2 linked regions of the Caenorhabditis elegans genome follow. The protein of the gene in region 1 interacts with the protein of each later gene in a pairwise test. Each region holds a gene or a part of one and is shown in the gene's direction. Other genes may lie near its edges.

Region 1 (5,217 bases):
TTTGGTTAGAAAACCTGTACTGAATGTTACTGATATAATTTTTCTTGAGGCCAGAAATTTCATTTTTGCCTTCGAAATAAAAACTGGAAGTTTAAGTATTTCTATTTAAATATGTCCAAATTAAAAAAAAGTTATTTGCATCTAAAAATTTACTGAAACTTTACACTTTTCTCCCGAAAAAAACTTCAATATTCAGTTCTAAATTTCTGAAAATTAAAATTTATTTTCTGAAAACGTCTGAAATTTCAAACTTTTCATATAAAAATGACAAAAATTTTAGAGATTCCTGTGCAAGAATGTCTGAAGTTTCAAAGGTACTTATTAAAAATTCTTCAAAATCTGAATTTCCATATTGAAATTGGCGGCATTTTTATTTCTTCCATGTTTAGAATTGTATGAACTTATGAAATTCTATTGAAAAATACGTAACGATTTTCCTTTCCCGTCTGAAATTTAAATTTTTATGTGAACACGTCTCAAAATCTGAATTTCTTATGGGAAAATATCTGAAGTTTCAATTTTTTTTTATTTGAAAATAAATTAAATTCATTTTTTTACGATTTTTTAGGTGCTGAAACTTTGAATTTTGTATCGAAAAATGTCTGAAAGTGAGAACTTCCAATTATAATTTTTCTTACATTTTTCTTGTTAGTTAGTTGAATTTTGAGTTTTTAAATTACTGAATTTCGAAATTCACGTGCTGAAAGTTATAAAAAACTTCATACGAGTTACAGCATTTTTTGAGATTTTGAAATTTCCAAATTTCGAAATCTCTTTTTTTCCCTATTTCCCCAAGATTAAACAATTGTCGATTTCAAAAAATTGCTTAGAACATCTCAAGTCTGCCATTCCCCACTCCAAAAAAAAAACAGGTTCCCATTATCATTCCTTATTCCCGTAGATTATCTCACCGTCTTCACCAGGTATCTTATCAATAGCTGGATGATTATGTAATTTCTTGCTGATGACATTTATTTTCTCGTTTTTCATTCCTAAGTTTTTTGTTTGGAAATCCTTTAGAATGCGAAACAATTTATTTACATTGTTGGCCACCTGTTAAAGTGACCTAATTGTTTGTTTGTTTTCTGTCCTTTTTCCCCCTGTTTTTTCAAAGTTAATTTTAAAAAACTTGACTCACTTTGTAGTTTGACCTTTGCTAAAAAAGCAGCCGACATCAGTCAAGGACCACTTATAAAATTTTGAGACATTGCTTTTTGGGGCCCAAAATCGTTAAAAACTACCGAATTTCGTAATGAAAAGTTTTGAAAATTTCTGGAAAAAAAACCGAAAAAAAAGTTCATACTTCAAAAAGAGCAAAATTTGATGGAAGTTTCTGTTCCTAACGTCAATAAAACAGTAGAAATTGACACAAATTGCTGGAATTTTGCGGTTAAACTCCAATAATTGACACTTTTAAAAGGCGAACAATTTTCTCGGTTTTGGAAACATTTCTAGCAAAACTGGTAGTTTTCTAAACTTTGGGGGCACTACAAACTACAAAAACCTTAATTTTCTGTATGTTCAATACTTCAAGAAGTTCGGAAACTTCCGCTCGAAAACTTCCGTTTTTCGAAACACTTATCCCTGATCACATGCTTATCTGACTTAACCCTATTATGATAATCATCCAATTTCTGTACTATTCTGAGCTCCTAGCACCGGAGCAAGCACTTTCACCCCTAATTTCCCTCTATTATCAGTTGACTGATAACCTGATGGTTTGATCGCTCTCTGTTTCTCTCCGCCTCTCCATCTCTCTCCTCACACTCGTCCTGGCACTGATTGACGCTGTCCCCGCCTACTTTAGGATCCTTCATAAACTCGCCTCGGGAGGTGTTCATTGTAGTTCCTATTCCATTTCCATATTTTTTCGTGTTTCCCCTGCTTTTTGTAGAATTTTCAAATTAATTTTAAATGTTATAAAATTCCAGAATGAACCGATTCATTCTTCTGGCACTGGTTGCCGCCGTCGTCGCCGTCAATTCGGCCAAGCTGTCCCGTCAAATCGAGTCGGCCATCGAGAAATGGGACGACTATAAGGAGGACTTTGATAAGGAGTACTCGGAGAGCGAGGAGCAGACCTATATGGAGGCATTTGTCAAGAATATGATCCATATTGAGAATCACAACAGAGATCACCGACTCGGAAGAAAGACATTCGAGATGGGATTGAATCATATTGCTGACTTGGTAAGAATATGCATTTCAATGCACCATGAGCTGCGGCGTCCGACGTTTTGAGCTCCGGGGACTCAAATTCTGGCTCCGAGGACCGAAGTCTCTAGCTCCAGGGTCCCAAGTTTTGAGCTGCGGGGTTTCAAAATTCAAGCTCCGGTTCTTAAGTAACGAGCTCCGGGATCACAATTTTTGAGCCCAAGGATCTCAAGTTTGGAGCTCCGGAGTCCCAAGTTCCTAAAGCGAGGATTTTCAAGTTTTCCTTTTTTGCATTTCCTAATTTCGACAGATAAGAAAATAAATACCCCCTATAAAAACTTCAAAAAGCTGTTCTCTGTCTCGTTCCACTATCAAAATCTCACCCAGCGAGAAAAAAAAAGATAAAGATATGAAATCCTCGTCTCGTGACTGACCAACAGCTGGCTTATCACACCACCACACTGACAAAACACACGAAGGTCATTTGATTTTCAAACTCTTGTTTTTTTCAGCCATTCAGCCAATACCGCAAACTCAACGGTTACAGACGTCTCTTCGGTGACTCCAGAATCAAGAACTCCTCCTCTTTCTTGGCTCCATTCAATGTTCAGGTAATTTTTTGAGAGGGGTTTTGTTGGGGTCCAGACACTAACTTTCTCGTCGATCAAAACTATAAAACTATTTGCATAAACAAAAACGTTTTCAACGACCGATAAAAATAATTCTTCGCTGACCGTATTTTTTGAATTATCATCTCTGATGATTGATACGCTTGAAAATTGAATTTCGCAATGTTTTGGTCACCGAAATGTTTAAAAACAAGATTCAAATGGTTAGAACTGTTTTTGCTGAAATTTGAACACCAGAGCTTAGAGCTGTGATGAACTTCTAGGGGATAAGCCTAAGCCTGAGCTTCAGTCTAAGCCTAAATCTAAGCCTACGTCTAAGTGTACGCCTAAGCTTAAGCCTCAGCCTAAGCCTCAGCCTAAGCCTAAGCCTAGGCTTGAAACTGATTGTGAGTTGATGGATTTGGCTCAGTCCAGGAAGAAGTTTGGTCTATGCCTAAGCCTTAGCATAAGCTTGAGCTTCCCAAGCTTTCGGCTAAACCAAACCCTCAGCTTAAACTCAAGCCTAAACCTATTCAATTTTCAGGTCCCAGATGAGGTTGACTGGCGTGATACCCACCTCGTCACTGATGTCAAGAACCAAGGAATGTGCGGATCGTGCTGGGCCTTCTCCGCCACCGGAGCCCTCGAAGGACAACACGCTCGCAAGCTGGGACAACTCGTCTCCCTTTCCGAGCAAAACCTCGTCGACTGCTCTACCAAGTACGGAAACCACGGATGCAACGGAGGACTCATGGATCAAGCTTTCGAGTACATTCGTGACAACCATGGTGTCGACACCGAGGAGTCATACCCATACAAGGGACGTGACATGAAGTGTCACTTCAACAAGAAGACCGTCGGAGCTGATGATAAGGGATACGTTGACACCCCAGAAGGAGATGAGGAGCAACTTAAGATCGCTGTCGCCACCCAAGGACCAATCTCTATTGCTATCGACGCCGGACACCGCAGCTTCCAACTTTACAAGAAGGGTATGTTTTGTGGGAAGATGTGAGGGGGGGGGGGGTACTAGTTTTTATTGACGGGTCAGTTTTATTTGCATTTTGGATGATAATGATAAGAAAGCTAGTTACTCGGGTTTTTCATCAGAGACAGAGAGGGCAATAGTGATAAGAGAACTCGTGTTTTTGAATGATACCCTCTTGACAATAATAGTTTGGGTTCGAACTTGAATGTGAAAGTGGTGAAGGAATTTATAAATTGTTTAGTAGCAAAGTATAACCCCATCAGCCTAGGCCAAAGTCTAAGCTTAAGCTTACGATTAAGCCTAAGCCTAAGCCTAAGCTTACGCCTAAGCCTAAGCCTACGCCTAAGACTAAGCCTAAACCTAAGCGAAAGCCTAAGCCTAAGCCTGAGCCTAAGCTTAAGCCTAAGCCTGAGTCTAAGCCGTAGCTCAAGACTAAGCCTGAGTCTAATCCCAAGCCTAGCTCATAAGCCTAAGCTTAAACAAATGCCTAAACCAAAGCCTAAGCCTAGGCCTAAAACTAGGCCTACAGCATAAACTCAGCCTAAGTTCCACCGAATATCATCCATTTTCAGGAGTCTACTACGATGAGGAATGCTCATCCGAAGAGCTCGACCACGGAGTGCTTCTCGTCGGATACGGAACCGACCCAGAGCACGGAGACTACTGGATTGTCAAGAACTCGTGGGGAGCTGGATGGGGAGAGAAGGGATACATCCGTATCGCCCGTAACCGCAACAATCACTGCGGAGTCGCCACCAAGGCCAGTTATCCATTGGTCTAAATTTGAACTTAATAATTAATTTTTTTTTTTGGAAAATTTAATTGTAGCCCCGAATTGCAATTCTTTGACTCTTTTCTGTCAAGCTTTACCTCGTTTTCTGTATTTTTTTGGAATTTCTCTAATATCTATAATTATGTATTTCAAATTGTGGTGTACATAAACGATTTTTGAATTTAGTTTTGCATTTTTCTGTCTTAAAAACAAGTGAGGAAATAGTAAGAGCATATAATTAGCTCGTAACAAATTTGAATTATAGTTTTCGTTTTCGCTTTTAATTCAGACACCAAGTTGTGACGTCCTTTTTAGCGTGTCTACGCCCCTGCCTGCTTGCCTAGTCAATCAAAGTCCCCCACGAAAAATTAAATAAACATTGCAAAGCAGCGGTTGTCGATTGTTAACCCTCTCTCATTACAAACATTTGCCGCCGCTGTACACCGCGGTTCCATGGTGTAGCGGTTAGCACTCAGGACTCTGAATCCTGCGACCCGAGTTCAAATCTCGGTGGGACCTATGCTCTTTTTTCGCAGTTTCTAACCTCAGAAAGTAGACTGATGTTCTTTCCCAAGGGGTTCAATTTGCACGTATTTTTCAATAATTATCCACCTCTTTACTTTTTCCCCTCGAATTCATTCTATGCGTGTTATTCATCGAGCTATAAGTTTCCCTGCCTCTCAAATATTTTGTTT
Region 2 (5,839 bases), on another chromosome or scaffold:
TTCCAAATGTTTCGATGACGAACGTCAATTCCGTATCCAGACATCTAAACATTTATTTTTTTAAATCTAAAGTTAAATCAAATGAATTTTATAATTAAATCAATTTTCGATTAAAAAAAAAATCTTACTCCGATTTTGTTCAAAAGATGAACAAGAAGACCATTTCCGCATCCAATATCCACGAATTTATTCGGCTTTGGTAGGAGATCAGAATTGACAAGCTCCTAAAAATATTTTGAAAGATGGGAATTTTATTGAAATAGATAAATTTTACATTTATATATGAAGCAATCCCACAATCCTCGAAAATTGATTTTTGTGGATTAGAGTTTTCTGTCCATCCTTTGATCATTCCTCTGCCATAATCCTCTCGAATATGACGATATGTCTTGATGTAGGACTCTTTGTCGAGTAGAGAATTTGTCTTTCGAGATGATCTGCAATAAACGTTTAGACTTTGTTAAATCATAGCGTTCTCACTTTGAAAGATCAATTCCTTTCAACCAAGTGTACAATTGTTTGAATGCTTGTTTCTTCATAAATTCAAAATGTTCTTGAGAGGAATTAGCTTGCTTCAAAAACTGAAGTTGAATGGATGTATCTGTTGGGATTTTAATGGCAATTGAATACGGGCTCTCGAAATGTGGGTGTTGCATTCCATCGAGAGTAATTGGGTAGAATCGTACAAGGAGTTCTTCTGAAAACAAAAACATCATTTCAAAAGAAGACTAACTTCGAAACAAACCTTCATAGTAAGAAACTTCAAACGCATTATCTGAGAATTTATTATTAGCGAGATCCTTGTGTATGATTTTCGTAATAGCTATTTCGCTGCAATCTCTCGGGCAAAATTTGTAATGTGTTTCAAATGTTCTTAAAACTTCATTCCATAAATCTGAATCTGTATCCACTGAAACTGAAGTTGTAATTCTGTTACTGATAGCGTTTGGATATTCCTTCCAAAGACTGATAATCTGAATTTTTCTTTCAATTACAATATTCCAAATTACAATAACTACCTTATCAAAAAACGCTTTTGGATCAATAACCTCTTCGTATTCGGCGATTTGTTCTACAATAACTGTCCATGTTGAACCAGGAAACATAAAACGCCTAAAAACGTAAAATTTTAATTGAATATATTGGTAAACTAGTTTTTCAAAGGAAAAAGAAAATTATTCAATAAACTTTTATTGATTAGTTCGGCCGAAAATATCCAACACGCAGAAAGGTAAGCTTTTCGAAGATATAGAAAGTTCTAGAAAATTCGGAAATGTTCCTCTGAAAACTACAAAAACTAAGTCAGACTGAAACCAATGTCATAACTATGTGCAATGAGCCTTTAATACAGTAACCACCGCATAGCTTTGAGACGATCAGTGAAAAATTAAGCATTAGAGCGGTCAAACTAGACACCAATACACTTTTATCTGATTTTAAAAATTAAAATATGCTATTTTTATCGGAATTGCTGGGAAAAATATTGTCTAAAAATAAGAAAACAACTTTGAAGAAAATGCGCCAACACCCATGTGCTGGCGCAATTATCGATTAGTTGACGCACATCGCGGAGGATGACAATTCTGACCACAGCGGGAAACCGCGAAATTGTCAGCTTTTATCTGAAAATGTATGTGTTTTTGGACGAAATTTGTCATTCGCAATCATTCTTTTCGTTCGGTTCATCCATTGTTGGTGTTTGAGTAATTTTATGATTTTCTAAAACGCCTGATTTATTTTTAGACGTTTTCTAATTTGTCTTTTAAGACGAGAAAGCTGTTTTTCTGATAACCTAGAAAAACATTTTATAATAAACTATGCTTCGCAACTATCTTCTCCTAGCTGCTCTCATTTCGGATTGTTTTTAATTTTGATTTCTTTCAGATGTTGACATTGTTGAACAGATGGAGATCTCAGCCAGGAGGCGCTTCAAACGCAGGTATCAAAACTAATATCTATCAAGAAACGTTGTGAATTGTTCATTTTCAGCCGCATTCATTCGTGTTCTCGAGTCACCGAAATCAGCAGTGACCGACAAAGTGCTCGTTCTCAAAGCATTTAACGATTGGGATGTTCTTGTGAACACATGGTTTGAGGTCGCTGACGCCCTTCCAGCTGTAGAGCAGCTCCTTGACAACAACACGTTCCCAGAGCATTCATCCGCTGCACTGCTCGTCTCCAAAGTTTATTTCTGCTTGGAGCAGTATGAACGTGCTTTGGAGTTTGCTCTTCGTGGTGATTTCAACGTCGTTCCTGCTACAAGAACCGGTCTTGGAAACGACGCAGAATATGTTAACAAGATCATCGAGACGGCCATTGACACGTACAAGACGCTGAGCAAGCAAGGATCTGGAATTCCTCAGAAACTCCGAGATTTGATCGACCGAATTGTTGCTAGAAATCTGGATAAACGAGAGATATGGTTTGTCATCTCGTTAGGATTTGAGACGACCAATCTGGCTATGATCGACAGGGCCATTAGCGCGATGCCTGCAGATTTGACCATCAAGAATCAGAGTAAGTCAATAATAACTAAGCTGAAACGTCATTCTTTTTTGTGCAGCTACACTTGTCGAAACGCTCAACCGTGTTGTCAATGGCGCGTTCGATCGTTCATTCCGATTCCAAGTTATCGATACAGTCATCAAGACGTACTTGAAGTGCCCATCGCCGGACATGTCCAAGATTTGCGAGGTATGATTTATACAAATATCGAAGTAAAATTACAAAATAAACATTTTCAGTGTTACGTGCTCACGGATAACGCCGAGGCCGCTGCTGACACGATTACGAGTTTGATCGCGAAGTCTCTCAGCACTCGTGCATATCAGATCGCATTTGATTTATATGAAACAGCGAGTCAAGGATTCCTCGATCGAGTTTTGAAACGTTTCCAACAGCAGGATGCTCGTGATGAGAAGTCGATGGAAAAGATTCATTCAATTCTCAAAGGTCATGAAACTGTCAAGGCTTACCTCGACTTCTTTGTCCGTCATAATCACACTGATTCTGTTCTAATGGAAGAGATCAAGGAGAACATTCGAACAGCCTCTGCCCACAATGCTCTTCTCATCTCAAATGGTCTTATGCAATATGGAACTACTTGTGACGATTTCCTCCGTAACAACTTGAACTGGGTTTCCAAAGCTACGAACTGGAACAAGTTCAATGCGGTCGCTTCACTTGGACTCATTCATCACGGACAAGAATCGTCTGCAATGAAGGTACTTGAGCCATATTTGCCAAAGGAATCTGTCGAAGGATTTGGATTTAAAGAGGGAGGAGCAATGCTGGCATATGGATTGATTCACGCCAAACACGGAGATGCAACTGCCATGAGCACTCTGGCTCAGTGGCTCAAAACCGCCGAAAACGAGCCAGTGAGACACGGAGCTTGTCTTGGATTTGGAGTTGCTGGACTTGGATCGTCTTCTGTTTCGAATTACGAGAAAGTTCGGGAAGTTCTCCAACGTGATGAAGCAGTTTCCGGAGAATCCGCAGGAATCGCCATGGGCCTTATCATGGCTGGACATCTGAATCAAGAGGTGTTCAATGAGCTCAAGCAATACACTGTTGACACACAGCATGACAAAACTCAACGTGGTATCCGAACTGGACTTGCCTGTGCCGCATTCGGACTCCAAGGAGATGCTGAGCCTTACATCAAAGAAGCAATCGGAGCTAAGAGCAATCCAATGCTCCGTTCCACTGGAATCTGTATGCTGTCGATGGCTTACGCCGGAACCGGATCTCCAGATGTAGTACGCCGTCTTCTCGAGAAAGTAGCCACCGATCCAAATTTGGATGTCAAGAGATACGCTACAATTGGTATCGGATTCGTTCTCTCCAAGGATCCATCAACCTGCTTATCCTACGTGGCCATGCTCACCGAACATTTCAATGGACATGTCAGATACGGAGCAGCTATGGCACTGGGAATTGCTTGTGCTGGAACAGGAAACATGGTAAGATACTTTTTTCTGAAACCGGGGTTTGATATAATGAATTGTTTTTCAGGAAGCTATTGCTCTGATTGAGCCAATGATTTCTGATAAGGAAGGTTTCGTTCGTAAAGGAGCACTTCTTTCACTTGCTCTCATCATGTGCCAGCAGACAGACTACACTTGTCCCAAGGTGAACGGTTTCCGTAAGCAATTGCTCAAAAAGGTAACTCTATAAGAAAACAATCAAGTTTTTCAATAAATGTTTGTCAGATCGGAGAGAAGAACGAGGACTCTCTTGTCAAATTTGGAGCAATTATTGCTCAAGGACTTCTCGACATCGGAGGGCAGAACGCTGCGGTCACAATGCAAAATTCTGACAAGCAGCCAGATATGGGATCAATGGTCGGAATGATGTGCTTCCTTCACGGATGGTTCTGGCACTCGATGCATTTCTTCATCGCCCTTGCTGCTAAGCCATCATGCCTTGTGATGATGAACGAGAATCTGAAGATTCCAGTACTTGACTACATCTGCCATGCCAATAGTCAGAAGTTTGCCTATCCACCACGAGCCGAATCAAAGAAGGATAAGGATGTCAAAAAGATTGAGACTGTTGTTCTGTCCATCACCGGAAAGAAGAATGCGTCAAAGAAGCTGATCGCTGAGGAGAAAAAAAGACGAGAAGCTGCAGCTTCCGCTTCTAGTGCTGCTGCTGCCCCATCATCATCGTCCACTTCAGGAACAGCACCAGCTGCTGAAGATGAGAAAATGGAGGTTGATCAACCAGGAAAATCCAAGTAAGTTTGGAATGAGTGTCTAGGAAAAGTAGAATTCGTTTTTTTTGTCATAAAAATTAAAAAACCAAGATTTCCAAATTAACTTACAATTATTTCAGGAAAGAAAAGGCTCCAGAAAAGGACACGAAGCCATTGCACCGCCTACAGAATCCAGCTCGTGTGATTCCTGCTCAACGACAGCTAATCTCGATCAGTGACGCTCGAGCCTACAGTCCCATGAAGCCACTTTACAAGGGTGGAATTATTGTGGCGGATCGTGTTGATAAGGAGAGAGAGGAGAAGCTTGTCAGTGAAGTCGTCACTCAGGTCAATACTCCTGCGAGCTCTGGAAATACCGAAAACAAACCCCATTCGACGTTCGAGATCAATATCAACGATTTTTGATCAATTGCTGGATCATTCGATCAACTCTATCTCGCTCCCCCAATCCCATTCAAAACTTTTTTAATTTATTTTCCCCCTTCTACTCTATTTATGTTTGACTTCGAATCAACATGAACCCGCTGATTTTTGTATTTGTGTGTATACCTGAAAATGAAGAACATTTCACTTACATGAATTGAAGTCAAGCGATAATGACAAAAAATTTATTTTTGTTAAACAAGAGATCCTTTCTGGCCTCAAAATCTTGCTGTGTTATTCAAATGAAACAGCAACAAAAATGAATGAATAAATTCTGAAAATTTTAATAACGAAAACGTGAAGTAAAAAATTAATTTAATTATCCTCCTCGTCAGTTGATAGAATCTCGCCGTCTGATAACTCCTCTTCGGGATCTCGCTTTGGCTTCGGAGGAACAACGACCGCTGGTGTTGACGTGGATATGGCTGGCTTTTTAGCAGGCGATGGAGCTGCTTTCCGCGATGGAGGAGACTGGTTTACACGTTTTTTGGTGGGAGTGTCGAGGTGTTTCTGTAAATTTTGATTTTGAAAACATGTAATCGGGAAATTTTAAGCTAAAACAATATAAATAATAAAAACCAACATCTCTTCCTCTATCAGAAGACGACTTCTCTGGCAAACGATCCCTATCTTTTCCAAATTTCCTTCTAGATGTCGTTGGTATTTTATACTCCATACGTTCTTTTCTTGATGCGG

What was found. The genes of interacting proteins can lie anywhere in the genome.
Region 2: the proteins of cpl-1 (region 1) and rpn-2 interact in a two-hybrid assay, tested with the Caenorhabditis elegans proteins (one large-scale study listed by BioGRID).

What each region holds. Positions count from the first base shown.
Region 1 is NC_003283.11:16,592,061-16,597,277, reverse strand, and holds cpl-1 (Cathepsin L-like), read left to right. Parts: upstream 1-1,931; 5' UTR 1,932-1,932; coding exon 1,933-2,190; intron 2,191-2,666; coding exon 2,667-2,765; intron 2,766-3,306; coding exon 3,307-3,754; intron 3,755-4,322; coding exon 4,323-4,531; 3' UTR 4,532-4,706; downstream 4,707-5,217. UniProt on the Caenorhabditis elegans protein: Cysteine protease which plays an essential role in the degradation of proteins in lysosomes.
Region 2 is NC_003281.10:6,197,302-6,203,140, forward strand, and holds rpn-2 (26S proteasome non-ATPase regulatory subunit 1), read left to right. Parts: upstream 1-1,878; 5' UTR 1,879-1,884; coding exon 1,885-1,939; intron 1,940-1,989; coding exon 1,990-2,517; intron 2,518-2,563; coding exon 2,564-2,694; intron 2,695-2,744; coding exon 2,745-3,965; intron 3,966-4,017; coding exon 4,018-4,167; intron 4,168-4,214; coding exon 4,215-4,741; coding exon of another isoform or gene 4,742-4,745; exon of another isoform or gene 4,746-4,839; coding exon 4,840-5,125; 3' UTR 5,126-5,293; downstream 5,294-5,839. Other genes in the region: C23G10.7 (putative tRNA (uracil-O(2)-)-methyltransferase), read right to left, coding at 1-44, 129-224, 275-437, 481-697, 746-974, 1,020-1,106; sna-3 (NADAR domain-containing protein), read right to left, coding at 5,459-5,653, 5,727-5,839. UniProt on the Caenorhabditis elegans protein: Acts as a regulatory subunit of the 26 proteasome which is involved in the ATP-dependent degradation of ubiquitinated proteins.